Linked DNA regions of Macaca mulatta. The protein of the gene in region 1 purifies or fractionates together with the protein of each later gene. This does not show direct contact. Links are inferred from orthologs where the notes say so. Each region holds a gene or a part of one and is shown in the gene's direction. Other genes may lie near its edges.

The links. Proteins that work in one complex are often made in the same cells at the same time.
Region 2: the proteins of RNF13 (region 1) and AP3D1 purify together in Homo sapiens (affinity purification with mass spectrometry; 3 studies listed by BioGRID and IntAct, counting the BioPlex papers as one, with this or other methods). This does not show direct contact. The link is inferred for Macaca mulatta from reciprocal best matches to the Homo sapiens genes RNF13 and AP3D1.

What each region holds. Positions count from the first base shown.
Region 1 is NC_133407.1:52,821,069-52,826,638, forward strand, and holds the start of RNF13 (E3 ubiquitin-protein ligase RNF13), read left to right. Parts: upstream 1-2,305; 5' UTR 2,306-2,459; intron 2,460-5,570. UniProt on the Homo sapiens protein: E3 ubiquitin-protein ligase that regulates cell proliferation. Involved in apoptosis regulation. Mediates ER stress-induced activation of JNK signaling pathway and apoptosis by promoting ERN1 activation and splicing of XBP1 mRNA.
Region 2 is NC_133424.1:2,843,802-2,848,575, reverse strand, and holds part of AP3D1 (AP-3 complex subunit delta-1), read left to right. Parts: coding exon 1-70; intron 71-489; coding exon 490-667; intron 668-1,357; coding exon 1,358-1,429; intron 1,430-1,783; coding exon 1,784-1,891; intron 1,892-3,615; coding exon 3,616-3,771; exon of another isoform or gene 3,772-3,799; intron 3,800-4,075; exon of another isoform or gene 4,076-4,109; coding exon 4,110-4,157; intron 4,158-4,470; exon of another isoform or gene 4,471-4,507; coding exon 4,508-4,697; intron 4,698-4,774. UniProt on the Homo sapiens protein: Part of the AP-3 complex, an adaptor-related complex which is not clathrin-associated. The complex is associated with the Golgi region as well as more peripheral structures.

The sequences.
Region 1 (5,570 bases):
ACCTTGTTCATAACTGAGAGAACTATACCTATTGTGATCTGAAGAGCAGATTGAAACCAGAAGTAAAATATTCTGTACTCCAGGTGCCTTTAAGGAATAAGCAAAGCTCTTTGGCTGAGCATGGTGACTCGTGCCTGTAATCCTAGCACTTTGAGAGACTGAGGCAAGAGGATCCTTTGAGACCAGGACTTTGAGACCTGCCTGGGCAACACAGCCAGGCTCTTTCACTACAGAAAATAAAATAATTAGCCGGGCCTGGTGGCACATGCCTGCAATCATAGCTACTCCAGAGGCTGAGGTGGGAGGATTACTTGAGCCCAGGAGTTCTAGGCTGCAGTGAGAAACGATCTCACCACTGCACTCCAGCATGGGCAACAGAGAGAGACCTTGTCTCTAAAATAAATAAAAATAAAACAACAATAACGAAACCCAAAGCTCCTCTCTGTGGACTTAAATATATATATATATATATATATATTTTTTTTTTTTTTTTGGAGACGGAATCTTGCTCTGTTGCCTATGCTGGAGTGCAGTGGTGGGATTTCAGCTCATTGCAACCTCTGCCTCCCGAGTTCAAGTGATTCTCCTGCCTCAGCCTGCCAAGTAGCTGGGATTACAGGTGTGCACCACCAAGCCCAGCTAATTTTGTATTTTTAGTAGAGATGAGGTTTCACCATGTTGGCCAGTCTGGTCTTGAACTCCTGACCTCAAGTGATCTGCCTGACTTGGCCTCCCAAAGTGCTGGGATTACAGGCGTGAGCCACTGCACCTGGCCTAAAAAAATTTTTTTGATGTTATGCAAGAAATCTGATGTAATATACCAATTTGAGGTAATTTAATGAAAAAATGCTTATAGAGATATTATAAATGTGTTTATATTAATTACACTAGTCTTCTTAGTAATATTCCCAATGCTGAGTTTTATTTATGACTTTCTTAAAGGCAGAATTGTGATTTAAGTATTGAATGTCTTCACAACCAATGAAAAGTTAAGACTATATAGAATACTCATAGGATATACAGAAGAGGAAAGTACCTTTGATGGCTTTTATTTAATTTTTTAAAATTTGATTTTAAATTTCTTGTATTTGAATTTTATTTGAGTAGGTAATATTTACAAGGTTCAAAATTCAAAAGGCACAAAAGGATACACAATAACGAAAGTGTCTTTCCCCCGTTGCTGTGTGCCACCTACTCAGGGCTCTCCAAGCAATCAAAGTTACAAGTTACATCCAATGGTATTCTATTAATATTCTGTGTGACAGCCTTCTCGCCACCATTTTTAAAACATGATGTTGAAGGAGTTGAAGCCTGTAAAGGCCTTATTAAAGGTGCCTTATTATTTGAAGCAGAAGTAGTGGCTGATTCTATGTCTCCTGACATTTTAGTTCAGGACTTGGTAATCTTTGCACTAAGTCACACTGCTTTTGTAAGGTGGCGAGTTGGCAATGATTAATCAGTGTGGATAGTACAATCCGGTAATTTTCGACTGGTTTAAGATTGGGACAACCAGAAAAGGTTTATCAGAAGGGCGGCAGGGGACGAGATTTTTGGTTCATCAAAAGGAGGCAACGGTTTTAAAAATCACGTGGTTTGACTTTTGCTAAGCCCCGGGGATGGCGCGTGTCAGGCCCAGAGTGCTGATGTCAGCGCGGATCCGAGCCAGGCCTCGGGGGACTGGCGTTCAGATGCTCGCATCTCTAACAATTTGAGCCTTACTCTAAGGTGTGGTCACGGTCCCACCCACCCTGATCTCAGACTGGGCACGGTGCGGGAGGAGGGCGGATGAGGCCTCGCCCTCGCCTCTTTAGTAGGTCGGGTGAGTGTAGTGTGCAGGGAAGAGACGTGTCAGCGTCAGCGCCAGGGCCAGGCCCGCCCGGGAGCAGCCGGGCAGCCGGATCTTGGGCTACTGTGTCCCAACAGCCGGAGCGGATCAGACCGACAGGCCCTGCCCGCTCGGTCCCGCGTCGTCCAGACCCTACGGTCTCCGTTTCTAGGGGCACATGGTTAGCGGCAGACGCCCACAGCCAATCCACTCTGCCAGCCTGCCCCTTCCTCTGCCAAGAGCAGCTTCTTCAGCCGCGCTACAGTTCCGCAGACGCCTGCCCCACCCTGCCCTTCCCTTCCAGGGAAGACCGATCACGCGGCCAAGAACGAGACTCGCAAACTGGGCATTTCTCCGAGCCGGGCTGGAGCAAGTAGCGAGACTCCTTGTGAGAGTGGGAAGGAGCCTTAACAGGCAACCATGTGGCCCAATGGGTTTTCTGTGCCTTTGGGTGCGGACCAATGAGGCATGTGGGGCGGGACTTCCGCTTCGCCTCGGTGTTGTCGTCCCTGCTCCTACTCCGGGCTGTGGGGGTCGGTGCGGATATTCAGTCATGAAGTCAGGGTAGGGACTTCTCCCGCAGCGACGCGGCCGGCCGGCGAGACTGTTTGTGTTGCGGGGGCTGGACTTCAAGGTAAGACCTTGTCCGGCTTCGCGGCAGCCGGGCAGCGGGTTATCGAGAGGCCCAGAGAACATACCCCGCTTGTTGGCCCTCGAGCCCGGAGTCGGCCCTGCTGCTGAGGTCTTTTGCTGCTCCTCTAGAACTGGGCGAGAAGTAAATTAGGCTTTTTGCAAAAGGAATAAAATAGCCTTGCCCTCGGGGGACCGAGTCTCCTCTGCACTCTGATTCTGCGAGTTTGTGTGTGTCCAAAGTTGAGTTACCGGTTTTGCTTCTCTCATTCCCTTCTTGAGGCTGCAAGAGCCTGCCTGGAAAACATGTTTGGAAGGCTTTTCTTGGTCAAGCACCTGCCGCAACGTCCTCGGGGAAATCGCTTGACTTTAGTTGAGGGGGCTGTTTTGTCTTCGAATAGAAGGAGGGCAATCACTTCCTCTCTTTTACCCCCACCCCCTTTTTCTTTCCCTGGAAGCTCAGATTGCAGATTTGGGACGTGACCCCTGCTAGGGCCAGATACTACGGTCAGTCAGCAGCTGTGCCTGTACGCTTAACTTGACTTGCACTTATTAAAGAACTTTGTCCCAGAGAGAAAGAGAGAGTGGGCAGACATAGAAGCCAAACAGTAGTATCCCGGAAGCACTCATGCAACTTTGGTGGCAGCCACTCAGTTTTCTCTGCCGGTGTCTGGTAAATTCCTCTATTTTGTCCTAATCTGACAATAGTAAATAGTAAATTTCCAAAACTGTCGTTTCATCATCAGTTTCAGCACCGTGGGCAGCTGCTCGGGTCCTCTCTTGTTGCCCCAAACCTGCCCGGCTATTACTGTTAGTCAGTGATGCAGCAGGAACAGTGAAAACTGATGCATTCCTTTCAACAATGATGTGTTGTTCTCCAAGGAGAACATCTGCAGTTTTTGTTACAATATAAATAAGTAAGGTAGCTGTGCCTCCAAAGAGTTCTTGTGGAGAAACAAATCAATTCAAGATTTAAGGTAGGACTTTCAAGAGTTTATTCTATTTAAGGACAATTTTTTAAATGGGTGGAGATTAGCTCCATATCGAAGTAACAAAACTGGACAGTGGTAGCAATGAAAAAGAACTTTAAACAGGAGGTAAGAAGTGTAGTGCAGTGCTGTAGTGCAGGGCCCATAAGAATTCATTAATAGATTTTAGAATCAATTTAGTACATTGACGAAAGCATTAAAAAGAAAGAAAAAAATACCAGAGGACATTGTATGGAATAAAAGTAAATATTATGGCAAGAAGCTTTTGTTTCAGTTTTTAACAATATGCATGTGTCAAGAGGAAGTTGGAAATGTAGAGTATATTATGGATTATTGCAAAAACAAATGTTTCAAAAATACTGGATTCCAAATTTGAGAGTCAAGCTGGGTTCAGTTCTGCCACTTACTAATTCTGTGACCTTTTCCGTAAATAACAAATGAGTTGTGAGGATTAAATGAAACAAAATTTGTCTATTACGTAAGTTTTTTTGTTGTTTTGTTGGAAACTATTGAAGAGAAGGACGGTTATTTTTCTCTATGTAGGGAATGAGAACTGTTTTATTAGGTTTTTTTTTTTTTTAACCTCTGCCTTTGTTTGAAGCTAGGCAGCTTGTCATCTTGTCTCTATGTGTAATGCAAATCTTAGACAAAATCTTGGTTTGAGAGTTATAATACTGAAGGGTTTGGGATAAGTTCTCATCTCTCCTTGTATAAAGCTAATTTTCTCAATAATTTTGGAGGGGCATAAATTGTTGTTAGCATTCAGCTTTCTTCCCTTGATATTTTTCTGCATTCCAGAATATCGTAGATTATTCAGAACTTTTACAGGCACTAACTTTAGCTAAGTGAGGGTAGGACTGAGGGTATGACTAAAGGGATAGATTTATGTCTTTGAGTTAAGTTGGAGAAAGGCATTTTATGCCTTATAGTTCTTCCCATAGGAGATGTATGAAATGAAATAGTTTGGTCAACTATCATGGTATGTTTTGCTTACTTCGTATAGGTGTGACCTAAAAATGGTTGGCATTTAAATAACAATATTTTTAAATCTGGGAATTAATGATGTTTAGCAGAAGGCAAATGAGTTTCAGTCAAAATAGTGTTTTGCACTGTTTGTCATGTTTACCATATGGCATTGCGTATGATAGTTTCACATGACATAAAAAGGGGAAGAAAGTTGGTAAGCATTGTTACTTTTCCCAAAAGAGGAAACAAAATTACAAGCAAATTCCTTTTAATAAAGCATACTGGTGAGTCATTGTTCAAAAATGTATGTATTCTATAGATATTTATTGAGCATATATAAAAGTAAAATATTAAACTTTTATGAATCTTTTACATTACACAAAAGTTGATTTGGGGACAACACAGCATATGATTGGTGTTGTCAAAGTTTATATAACGTAGTATATCAATAACAACAAAACAGTAATGTAGCTAATATTGATTGGTTACTATGAGCCAAATACAATTCTAAGCCCTTTGTAATATCTCAGGTGGTTCTTACAGTCATTGATGTAGTAGATGGTAAATTGTTTCCTTTTTATTTTTATTTTTGGGGGACAGGGTCTTGCTCTGTTGCCCAGGCTGGAGCGATTATGGCTCACTGCACGCTTGACTTTGTGTGCTCAAGGGATCCTCCTATCTTAGCCCAACAAATAGCTGGGACTACAGTCATATACTGCCATGCCTGGCTAATTAAAAAAAAATTGTTTTTTTGTAGAGACAAGGTCTTGTTATGTTGCTCAGTCTGGTCTGAAACTCCAGGGTTCAAGTGATCCACCTGCTTCAGCCTTCCAAAGTGCTGGGATTACAGGTGTGATACATCATGCCTGTCTTATCCCCATTTTATAAGTGGGAAGTGGGGGAATTAAGGCATCACAGATACATAACTTGTGAGTTCACACAAGTAGCTGGTGGAGTAGTGGAGTAGCTGGAATTTGAACACAGGTATTCTGACTACGGAACGTCTGTCTCTTTTATGTCTTATTTCATTAAAAATATGGAATGCCATGGGGCTATTTTGGATTCTTACTTGCTGGTGAGTTTCGGTGAGCTCCTCCTCAGTTTCCTTAACTGCTTCCTTATTTGTTTTTGTGGAGATTCAGATAATTTGTGAAGCATCA
Region 2 (4,774 bases), on another chromosome or scaffold:
CTCTGCCCAGCGACGAGGATGACAAAGACCCCAATGATCCCTACAGGGCTCTGGACATTGACCTGGATAAGTGAGTGCACAGGGGTTCAGGATGAGGCTGGAGGCCACAGGTGGTTGCTTCCCTTCCTCTCGTCCTCCCGGGCGGGGCCGGGCTCTGCAGGGTGGACAGGCTGGGACGGGGTGCAGGCGGGCGTTCCCCAGACCATGTCCTCACTGCACTGCTTTTGGTTGGCCCTCCCAACCAAGACCCTAAGCGTGGGCTCTGAAGTCTCCAGGCCTGGGGTGCTCAGAAGGTCCCCATGCCTCGACAGACTCTCCCGTGAGAGCCTGCAGCAGGCCGTGTTGGGCAGATCCACGTCGGACCATGGCTGGGGCCAGGGGCTGGAGGAGCAGGTCCCGCGCTGCCACATGCTTGGACACAGCATGTACTGGTGGTCCTGGGGGGTGGCCAGTGGTGCTGATGTGCGACCCGGTCATTCCCCTTTCCAGGCCCTTAGCCGACAGCGAGAAGCTGCCTATTCAGAAACACAGAAACGCCGAGACCTCAAAATCCCCCGAGAAGGACGTTCCCGTGGTAGAAAAGAAGAGCAAGAAACCCAAGAAGAAAGAGAAAAAGCACAAAGAGAAAGAGAGAGACAAGGAGAAGAAGAAGCAGAAGGAGAAGAAGGTAAAGCTAGTGCCCAGGGTAGCATCCTTCTCCATTCCCCTCTCTTGCCCTGAACTCCCAGACAGCCTGGGGACAGCAGTGAGCTCAGGGGAAATGGCTGTGAGTCTGAGGCAGCGAGCGCCAGCCGCCTCGCCCTGTGCCCTGGCGGAGGGAGGACGCGTGGCTTCCGAGGGGAGTTGGCTGTGCGCTTGCCTCAGGGGAGACTGAGGAGGAGCCGACAATCCGACAGGTGAGCCGTGTCCTCACCTGTGTTGGGGAGCCGTGGTCAGAGCTCAGTGTGGTCCAGATGCCCCTGGTGTGCAGCTGTCTCTGCAGCGTCTGTGTGCACATGTTCACAGAGAGGAAGAAATGGGTTCAGAGGAGCGCGTGTTCGCAGGCCTGGGGCCGTGCACACCCACGTCAGGGGCCCAGGCAGACATACGGGCCGCCAGGGGCCTTCTGACCACTGGAATGGTGCATGCCCACCCACAGATATGTCCCTGGCCCTCTTCTGGCAGCGAAAGCCAGAGCCAGCAGGGCTGGCTGAGGACATCACCATCAGCTCCTGGATTCCCAGGCTCTGCAAGGCCCAGCTGGTCCAGGGCCCTGGGGGCAGCAAGGGCAGCTGGTCCCTGCTGTCCCCTGCTGTCCCCGGCGCCTCTTCCTAGGACCATGCACTGCGTTTGCTGACAGCCTGTCTTGTGGTTTCAGGCTGAGGACCTGGACTTCTGGCTGTCCACCACCCCACCACCTGCCCCCGCCCCCGCCCCTGCTCCATCCACGGTAAGAGACCGGCAGCTGGCCACTGCCGGCCTTCGTGTCTCCAGAGGTCATACCTGGCACTCAGGGAAGAGCCCTGGGGTCTCCTGAGGCCCCGTGCTCTCGCAGTCACTCTCGCAGCACTGAGTGGGGCCGGGGTCGTGCTCCCACGTACCAGTGGGCCAAGCAGGGGCCAGGGGAAGGGGAGGATGGCCAGGGCCTCTGCGCCCACAGGCTCCCTGTCACTCAGAGGGCACTGTGGCCTCTCAGGCAGGGGTGAGGGTGAGCTGAGGGTGTGCGGCATGGAGGCTGCCTGGAGTGAAGTGGAGTGGGGCCCCTCATTGCCCAGCATGAGCCCTGAGCCCTGGCTCCCTGCAGGAGGAGCTCAGTGTGAACGCTGTCACTACCCCGAAGCACGAGTGTGAAGACGCCAAGACGGAGGCGCAGGACGAGGAGGACAACGCTGAGGGGCAAGACCAGGACAAGGTGAGGCTGTCACTCCCCAGTGGCTGTGGAGGGCTGCATGCGCCCCAGCATCCCAATGTGGGGCCGGACAGCTTCCGCCACCCAGATCCCAGGGCAGCCCTGCTCTCGCCTTTGCATCGGACTTCTCACGGGCCTTTTGTTGTGGTCGTGGTCTTTTGTTTTTTAATTTTTTTTATTTTTATTTTTATTTTTATTTTTATTTTTATTTATTTATTTATTTATTTATTTTTTTTTTTTTTTTGAGACGGAGTCTTGCTCTGTAGCCCAGGCTGGAGTGCAGTGGTGCGATCTCGGCTCACTGCAGGCTCCGCCTCCCGGGTTCACGCCATTCTCCTGCCTCAGCCTCCAGAGTAGCTGGGACTACAGGCGCCCGCCACCTCGCCCGGCTAATTTTTTGTATCTTTTAGTAGAGACGGGGTTTCACCGTGTTAGCCAGGATGGTCTCGATCTCCTGACCTCGTGATCCGCCCGTCTCGGCCTCCCAAAGTGCTGGGATTACAGGCTTGAGCCACCGCGCCCGGCCGTCTTTTGTTTTTTTAATAATCTCCATATTCACACATGGTTCATAAGTCTAATAGAGTTTATTCATTTAAAATATGTATACGGTGGTTTTCCGTATATATACAGCGTTGTGCAACCATCATCACCTCTGTCTAGTTCCGGAACTTTCCTTTTTTTTTTTTTTTGAGACGGAGTCTCGCTCTGTCGCCCAGGCTGGAGTGCAGTGGCGGGATCTCAGCTCACTGCAAGCTCCGCCTCCCAGGTTCACGCCATTCTCCTGCCTCAGCCTCCCGAGTAGCTGGGACTACAGGCGCCGCCACCTCGCCCGGCTGGTTTTTTGTATTATTTTTTTAGTAGAGACGGGGTTTCGCCGTGTTAGCCAGGATGGTGTCGATCTCCTGACCTCGTGATCCGCCCGTCTCGGCCTCCCAAAGTGCTGGGATTACAGGCTTGAGCCACCGCGCCCGGCCTAGTTCCGGAACTTTCCATCACCTCTAAAGAAACTCCATTCCCACCAGCCGTTACTCCCCATTCCCTTCCCAGCCCTGGCACCCACGCATCCTTCCTGTCTCTGTGGATCAGTGTGTCCTGGACATTTCACAGAAATGGGGTCATACACTGTGTGGTCTTTTGTGTGTGGCGTGTCACTGAGTGTGATGTCCTCAAGGTGCATCCACACTATGGCTTGGGTCAGAGCCTGGTTCCTGTTCATGGCTGGGTCGTGTTCTGGTGCGTGGACAGGCCGCCCTCTGCTGACCCCGTTCCTCCACGGACGGGCCACGCTGTGCCGGCCCACTCGTCTGTTGATAGCCACTTGGGCCGCTTCCACTTTGTGGCCACACAGTGTGCTGCTTCGAACATTTGTGCAGTGTGCATGGACGTGTGTGTGCCCTCTCGGGTGTGTGCGTGGGTGTGGAGTTGCTGCATCAAGCGTGGCGTCCTCACCGGTTGACCATCCATGGCTCCCTGGTCGGCAGGGACTGTTCCCTGAGCTGCTTTGGCGCTTGCCGCCTGCCGCCAGCCAGGGATGGCCCCAGCCTCTGCTGGGCTGGGTCTGGCCTGAGCTCATCCCGGTAGGCCTGAGGCGTGGCTGGTCCTGCCATCCCACCCAGACACGTGGGCCCCTCAGCCTGAGCAGCCCAGCCTGTGGCCCCGACCTCGCATTGTGAGGGGGGCGCGCTGGAGCAGCTTGGGAACTGAACCTGACCCTCCTCCTGCTCCAGAAATCTCCCAAGCATAAGAAGAAGAAGCACAAGAAGGAGAAGGAGGAGCGCACCAAAGGCAAGAAGAAGTCCAAGAAGCAGCCCCTGGGCAGCGAGGAGGCGGAGGCGGCGGGGGAGCCGGTGCAGAACGGCGCAGCAGAGGAGGAGCCGCTCCCGGTGAGGGGTACTTCAGCGCCCCCGCCCCGTGCCAGGGTTCCTGGCGGGCTGCGGGCTGCTCCCCACTCCTGCGGCCTCCATGCGGGAGAGAACAGCAGATTCTTGAAGAAGCTGAGCCTGGCGGGAGCAGGGACCTGGCCCTGGCCTGCAGCCCCACATTCGGCACCCCCGCAGTGGGCTGTGTGGGAGACAGGCATCCCTCGCAGGCCCCTTTGAAGCCCCTCACCCCAAGCGTTCTTGGAGTCGTGGCATTTGACCTAGGGTATTGGGCTGCACTGGAGTCTTCGTTAGGACGGAGCTCGAGGCCCCCGAGGCTGATGGGCCTTTTCTCTTTCCAGCCTGAGTCCAGCTACTCCCTCCTCGCTGAAAATTCCTATGTTAAAATGGTGAGCTGCTCCCCGGGGCAGGGTGGGCCAGCCCTTGCTCTTTGGCATGGGATTGCACAGAACCGGGGCAGCCCCCACAGCTCCCAGATGTTGGTGTACCCAGGGCCTGTGATCCCTGGCAGGGCATTGCTTGGGCAGCGCCTCTGGCTTGGGTAAGGTTAGAGACATGCCCTGAGCTGGCAGGAGGGCCCCCGCCATGCACTCAAAGAGCAACCACAGGAGGCGCCTGGCTGCAGCTGGGGGTCGCCTCTCCCCGTGCCTTCCTGTGCCCGTGGGACCCGTGCTGCCTCTGTGGTCACTGAGAGACAGGCAGCTGTGCCTGCCCTGCTTACATTGGCCATGCCCTGCAGACCTGTGACATCCGGGGCAGTCTGCAGGAGGACAGTCAGGTTACTGTGGCCATCGTGCTGGAGAACCGGAGCAGCAGCATCCTCAAGGGCATGGAGCTCAGCGTGCTGGACTCACTCAATGCCAGGATGGCCCGGCCGCAGGGCTCCTCCGTCCATGATGGTGTCCCCGTGCCTTTCCAGCTGCCCCCGGGTGAGCCCTGCCCCACTCACGGCCTCTCCTGGGGATTGTGGGAGCACGGTGGCAGCTGGTGGCTGCCCGGATCCACT